Linked DNA regions of Caenorhabditis elegans. The protein of the gene in region 2 interacts with the protein of the main gene of each other region in a pairwise test. Each region holds a gene or a part of one and is shown on either strand. Other genes may lie near its edges.

What was found.
Region 1: the proteins of ced-10 (region 2) and swan-1 interact in a two-hybrid assay, tested with the Caenorhabditis elegans proteins (one study listed by BioGRID).

What each region holds. Positions count from the first base shown.
Region 1 is NC_003283.11:13,805,556-13,809,309, forward strand, and holds the start of swan-1 (WD_REPEATS_REGION domain-containing protein), read right to left. Parts: upstream 1,683-3,754; 5' UTR 1,657-1,682; coding exon 1,384-1,656; intron 926-1,383; coding exon 719-925; intron 675-718; coding exon 567-674; intron 518-566; coding exon 382-517; intron 327-381; coding exon 1-326.
Region 2 is NC_003282.8:3,507,774-3,511,527, forward strand, and holds the start of ced-10 (Ras-related protein ced-10), read right to left. Parts: upstream 1,755-3,754; 5' UTR 1,721-1,754; coding exon 1,616-1,720; intron 1,336-1,615; exon of another isoform or gene 1,186-1,335; intron 828-1,185; coding exon 736-827; intron 469-735; coding exon 283-468; intron 1-282. Other genes in the region: tsg-101 (Tumor susceptibility gene 101 protein), read right to left, coding at 2,701-2,831, 3,419-3,712. UniProt on the Caenorhabditis elegans protein: Required in engulfing to control the phagocytosis of apoptotic cell corpses. Required in embryonic development for the correct positioning and orientation of the mitotic spindles and division planes in blastomere cells.

The DNA.
Region 1 (3,754 bases), on a different chromosome or scaffold from region 2:
ATCAACGGGTCTTGGAACCTGCTGCAGATCCCAAATCAGAGCTTGTGAATCGTCTCCAGCAGTACAAATGTGATGTGGACTGTGTGGGGCCCATGCAATTCCGTTCACTGGTCCAGTGTGATTACGGAGTCGACAGAGAATGTTGCATGGCATACGAATGTCAAGAATTTGAACTTCTTGACTGTTCTCGGCAAATAAAGCCATGAAATAAGGTTCTTGTTTGTTCCATGACAGTCTTTGAAGCTTCTCCTTGTTTGGATCTTCATAGACAATTGTCGAGTGGTTTAAATGTCGAAGATCAAACATTCGGGCACTTCCGTCAGCTCCTGGAAACTCGTAATGTTTATAAAAAGATGCAAATACTAGCTAGACAAGACTCACCAACAGTTGCAAAATGATCACGACCGCCATTGATTTTAGCAAATTCGATATCGTGAACAGGCTTGTCATGAGCAATCAGTTGTGTTTTGAGTGTGAATGGAGCTGTCGGCTTGGTCTGCCCAATTGCGCAACCAACCTGAATATTTGTAAACATTTCACTAAATCTTATCAAAATTATAACTCACCTCAACATCATAAATTGTGCAAGTCGTATCTACACTGGAAACTCCAATATACCTCGGCTCCAGCTCGTTCCAGTCGAAACTTGTCAAAGCTGATCCATATTGTGAGTTCTGAAAATTCCATTGAACACTAAAAATTTACAGGTTTAACGTACAGTATTATTGATCATAACTGCGTCTGGATGAACTTTTCCATCAACTACTCGCCAGAGGCGAAGGCAATCTGATGTTGTGGCAATGAGATCAGGGTAAACGTTGTCTGGATCCGGAATAAAACCGACTGCATTGGCTGGGAACTCCATTGGAAAGCTCGCCGTCTCGACAAGCTCGCCAGTTTCGTCTTTTAGTTGTACAATTGATACCTGAAAACGTTTTAATTGGAACTGTTATGTTTCAAAATACATATAAATTTCGTTTTTTTTTTTTTTAACTTTTACATTGGAGTACAGTCTATAGGGTTTTCAATTCAAAATATTCGAAATGTTTTAATATACATACTGAAATACCGCAAAAGGAAAGACAAAAATTATGTTTAAAACCTGAACAGTTCAATTTCGATTTGTTCCGATTTCCAGTTTTTCTAAATTGTGTCTTTGAACTATAGTAAAACTCGACTCAAAAATATAACTCAACTCAAAAATAAGAACGATCGCTGTTTAATCTTGCAGTTCTTATTTTGTAGACAACTTAAACAGTAGATTAGAATTTGCAAAAACCCGTTTTTTAGAATTGCGTTTTTTGTGGTATTTCAGTAAATGGGACCTTATTGACTATGGCCAACATTACCACTCACACGTTTTCAAATTTTTCAAAAACTCACCTTGTTTGCGGCACATGGGTTAACGGACACGTCGGATACTGTTCCCACAGCAAGTCGAAATTTGATATCATTTTTGTTGCTCCATGCCGATGCATACAACTGTTGATCAGACGTGAATTTATAGATCTCACAACGTCGATCACGTCCTCCGATCACAATTTCGTTCTGTCTTCCGATCCCTTGCGGAGCTAATGGTCCTGGTGGAGCTGGTTGTTGTGCGACTTGTTGCATAACATGAGCTTCTCCGTTCACTGCGTGACCATTGGTAGCCATTGCAGGTGATAAGGGTTCACAAGTTTCTGCAAGATAAAACACTGCGTGAGGGGATTATTAGAATAATTGGAAACTAGTAAGCGAACGAGGGAAAGAGCGAAAAAAAAGTGAGAGTAGTAGTTTTCAAATCGAATTCGACAAAACAGAAAGGTTCCAGGGAAAAGACGATCACAGAGAATACGGTAAATCAATAGACGCAGGGAACACGAGAACGAGAAAAATAAAATTGAAAAGTAGAAGGACACAGGAAGAAAATGAGGGAAAAAGAGAGAAAGAGAGGGAAGAACGCACTTTGTTACACTAAATCGAAAACGAATGGAATGGAGGTGGTGGTGGAATGTTGAAGATGAAAAGAAGGCAGTAGAGAGCAGGAGAGCAGCTCAAATGAGACAGGTGAAGTTGAAAAGGGATTCGATTATTTCAACAAGGCAGGGGGGGGGGGGGGTAGATCAAGTTGTTTCTAGGTCATTTTGATGTGATATGACATTATAAATCAGAAAAGAAATGCTAATCAGGTAGTTGTAAAGCTTGAACGATTGCCATGTTTTTTAAAGCACACTACCAAAAACATAAAAGTAAACGACAAACAGATTCAATTAAGTATAAGAAAATTGAGTCCAAAACACCGAGATATGGGCAATTCCTATATTGGGATTTCAGTCTATTCCAGATTAATGCCGACACTTTTAATTTAAATTTGGACAGCCTAATCATAGAGATCGAAAATTTAATTTAAGCGAAAAAATAGAAAGAAACAATTTTAGAGGAGTAAAATTGATCACATACTATAGTTTTGTTTATTGCATTCTGAATTTTTGACAAACATTGGATATTCAAAACTGACTTGATTTGAACTTTTTTGGAGGTAACGCTGATTGGAAAATGAGCTGAAAAAATGTAGCAAGTTTTGGACAAAAATTGTAATTTTCGAAGTTGTCAAGAGGACCAAAATTCAACTTTTGCATAAAAAAAAAGAAGAAAAACTGGAAGTTAGTTCTGAGAAAATTTTTGTTCGGACAATTTTTTTTCCAATTTAACATTATAAAAATGGAATTATTTTGCAAACTTTTCCAAATTTCGAACATTTTCCGAATCTATTTCCAATTTGGAAAAAAACAATGAAAGTTCGAACAAGAACAGAAGAAAATTATCCAAAAGATCACATTGAAAAGTTTGCAAAAAATAGTTAGTGGTCAACTGGGAATACCCGCATTAGTTCACTAATGAGCAACAATGGAATTAGGGAATTAGGAGGAATGTAAAGAGACAGAAACAGTGCGTTGCAGATTGTAACCAATCGATAGTATGCAAATAGTGTAAACTGTGCAGTGTTCGTCTATTCACCGAAGGGGGCCACCGACTAGCTGCACTGGACGAGGTAGTAGGTAGAAATAGGAGAGTTACACAGAGAGTTAGAGACCATTGCGTGAGTGCGTGTGTGAGTGAGTGAGAGAGTGAGTGAGCGAAGCAAAATGAAAAAAGAAGAAACGAAAAGATTCTCTGCGTTACGTGCCGTCTGTCCATCTCGTTTTGCAGAAATGGAGACGCAGAGGTCGGCTAGACGGACATGCAATGCGGCTAGCGGATACGTTGACCCCGAATACTCGGTTGCAGGTGGAAGAGAAAAAATGAAATTACAAGGAGCACATGACGCCAGAAACGGTGCATTATGATGCAAGTTTTCCGGATCTGGATGATCGTAGAATACGTTCCAGTTGACTTTAAAAACACTGAAGCTCCGTGAGAGTTATGTAAAACTGCCCTACAATCTACCTTGATAATTTAGAAGTATTAACTGTAAAGACTGGAACAAGCCATTCAAAAAGAAATCTGATCTGACTGAGCCTGAAATTGTTTAGAAAATCCTGCACATTTTGAATATTTGTTCAGGAGCACCTACGAATCAACGGTTTTATTAGAATTTCAGTAATTTTTAATAACAGTTTTAAAAGCAACTCGTTACTAACAAAACAAGGTTCTTATGTTGTTAGTTTTAAAACTTGTCTCTTTCATTATGTTCATTTTGATAATTCAATTGTATCATGGGCAGCATTAAACTGGCGCAACTCAAGAACTTTTTTGAAAAGCTTCACCGAAA
Region 2 (3,754 bases):
AAATTTTTTTCCAAAATTTTATGTGAATGTTGTGCTATTTTACGCAACTTTTCATACAATTTTTGCAATTTTTTTTCCTGAAATTGATGCGTTTTTTCCTTATTTCTCATTTTTTTGCCGTTTCTAATGATTTTTCTAATGTTTTGGCGGTATTCCTTCAATTTTTAAGTGATTTTCTGAATTTTTATGCGCTTTTTCGAATTTTTTGGCAATTTTTCATCATTTTCTACAAATTTTTCACTTTATTCCTCAATTTTTCTCTCAAATTCTCCAAAAATCTACCGTTCAACAGTATCTCGATCCTCACGCAGATCAGCTTTCGTTCCAACCAAAATAATCGGCGTATTCGGGCAATGATGTGACACTTCTGGATACCATTTCGCACGAACATTCTCAAAACTCGCCGGATTGTTCAGGGCAAAGCATACGAGAAACACGTCTGTTTGTGGATATGACAGTGGTCGGAGTCTGCAAATTTTTTTGGTGTTGAAAAATTGATAATTGGGGTAATTTTTAGTGCAAAGTGCGAAAAATTCCATGTTTTTCGAGTTTTTCACCACAAAATAGCTTCAAAATCACTGTCATTTTATGAAAAATTGGATGAAATTTTCTAAAATGTGATATTTTCCACATTTTGATTGAGGAAAATATCACATAATCCTGAGCAATTTTTTATTGAAAAAACCCATAATCCTGAGTTTTTTCGAGCATTTTCAGTTTTCCCGCTGCCCGTACCGATCGTAATCTTCCTGTCCAGCTGTATCCCAGAGCCCGAGATTTATCGGCCGACCGTCGACCATCACATTTGCTGAGTAGTTGTCGAATACCTGGAAAAAATTTGAATTTATGGGAAAAAAGCATTTTTTTGGGAAAAAGAAGACACCTTTCATATTTTTTGCGGGAAATTGTGCGCTTTTCAAAATTTTCAATTTTTTTGTTGCAAAAAGCCTACAATTTTATTGCATTTTTAAAAGTTTTTTGAATCAAAATTTTCTAGATTTTCCGTTTAAAAAAACTGAAGTTTTTTGAAATTTTCGACATTTTTTTTTCAAATAAAAATACCAATTTTTATATGAAATTTCACCATTTTCCCAGCTTTTGGTATAAAAAATATTAATTTATTGATTTTTATGGGAACAAGTTGACAATTTTCATATTTTTCAGCAAAATTTCGCTAAAAATGTGTTTCTTAAAACGATTTTTGCAGAAAACTTTTTTATCGCATTTTGAAAAGTTTTTTGTCTAGATTTTCCGTAAAAAACGGAAGTTTTAATTTTCATACTTTTCAGTGAAATTTCACTTATTTTTTTGATTAAAAAAATGTACTTTTTAAAACGATTTTTAGCAAAAAAAATTTAATTTAAATTATTTTTTATTTAAATGTTTTATAAATCAAAATGTTCACGATTTTCAGTATTGATAATTTCACTATTTTTCCCAGTTTTTGGCCTAAAAAAATATTTATTTCAATGATTTTTGGATCAAAATACAACAATTTTGAATATTTTTTGCCTAAATTTCTTTGTTTTTTTTTTTCGATTTTGTGTCAAAATGTCCTATTTTCTGAGCCAAAAAACGTAATTTTATCTCAATTTTTGCTTTAAAAATGACTCACCGTCGGAATATATTCTCCGGGAAATGCGTTTGTGGTGTAGGATATCAGGAGACACGTTTTACCGACGGCTCCGTCACCAACGACGACACATTTGATCGCTTGCATTTGTGGGGAGCTCCGCGAGCACAAGCACAAAAAGCTGGAAAAATTGGCTTAAAAATAGCAACAAAAAAAATCTATCAAAAATATTGAAAAACCGCCAAAAATCACGGTATTTTGAGCGAAAAAATCAGAAAAAAATGGGGGGAAAAATCACATTTAAATTAAAATTTTTGTACAAAAAATAAATGAACAAAAAACCTGAAAAAGTCATCGAATTTCGAGAGAAAAGCGAGCTTTTCCCCCGGGAAAAATGGGGAAATGGGTGCAAAATTGGATATTTTAAATGGGGAAAAATCTAGAAAATTGTGTCTATAAAACGGAAAAAAAGAGAGAGAGAGAGAGAACAAACCAAATCACAACGGGCATCAAGACGGAGAGAAAGGGAGTATTAGAGAAAAATGGCGGCAATGGGAGAAATTTTGAAATGAGAAGATGGAAAAATGAGTGAAAACCGTAATTTTTTTGACAAAAAAGTCACTGAAATTCGTCGTAATTTACATGTTTCGGCTGGAAAATCGTCAAAAAAAGAAAGCTTTTTTCGAGGTAATTTTCAATAGAAGCTCCATCATTTTTAACGGGAATTATTGAAATTTACAATTTTCGGCTGAAATTAGAAGATTTAAGTGAATTTTTAACGGAAAAACATGTAAAAAACTTGAAAAATCACGGAAAAGCACCGAAATTTTGATGTTAAACAATTTTTCATCAGGAAAATAAATGAAATATGGAATTTTTAGCTAAAATCGTTTTAAAAAAATGCATTTTTCTCGATTTCTCAGCAATAATTTTAAGTTTTTCGTCAGAAAATCGCTGAAATTCCCACTTTTTATTGAAAAAAGTATTTTTCATCCAAAAATCGAGAATTTTATCGAATTTTTAGCATTTTTATGGACAATTTTTCACGATTTTCCAGTTTTGGTCAAAAAATTAGCAATTTTTTCTCAAAAATTTCCACGATTTTCAATCCAAATTTTATTTAAATTTTAAATAGGAAGACCAGCAGTTCGTCGACATTTCTGCATTGTTGCTCGGTAGATAAATTGCTCTCGGGACACGTCACGAACATGGCGGAGGTATTCGGCAAGTGTTATTTGGCGTTTTTTCAGTGATTGACCTGAAATTTTGAAGATTAGGCAAAAAAAAAATTTCTCATAAATACCATAATTTTTTTTCGTTTTTTTTTTTGCTGGATTTCGGAAAAATTTTTACACCGAAAATTTGCTGAAATTCCAATTTTCAGTCATTTTCAATAATTTTTCTATCAAATTTCCGCAAAAAAAAAACACTTTTGCTAAAATAAAACCGAAACTGATTTTTGAACGATTTCAACAAAATTTTGGAGTAAAAATGGCTGAAAATTGTTCAGAAACTTCCAATTTTTTGTAGTTTTTGTGAATTTTCTAGAATTTAAAGTCAATTTTAACTAATTTCTGTTTTTTTTCGGGGGTTTTTGAATGATTTGTAGTAGTGCTAATAGACGAAATCGTTGAAAAATTTCAGAAAAACGCTTTTAATTTGGCTTCAAATCTCTCAGAAACTTCGAAAAATCTCAACTTTAATTTAATTTTTTTGAAACATTTTCACTAGTTTTTCTTAATTTTCAACTTCTGCATTTTTTGAAAACAATTTTTGCACATTTTCCTCAGGATTGAGCAATTCCAGCTAGATTTTTCCAATTTTTCCCAACTTTTCGTTCCATACCAAGTGAATAAATGACGTCATCACATGTCAAATCTTTCGCATAATTGAGCACAATTTGTCGGTGCAACGGAAAAGCGGCATCAATTGCCTCATCAATTGGTGGAGCATCAGTGCCTCCAGCGTCTGAAAGAGCTTTCGCGAGCTCTGCTTTCTTTGCCGTATAGATTTCACAGGCGGTCTGAAGGCTGCTCCGTTGAGTTTCGAGCTCTTCGAGCATTCTTTTCAGCTTTTGCTGTCCTTCACGAAGCTCGTCGCTCGTCGTACGGATTGATGCCATTTCTGCGCTATTTGTGCCTGAAAATTGAGAATTTTTGAGAGGTTTTTTTCGGATTAAAT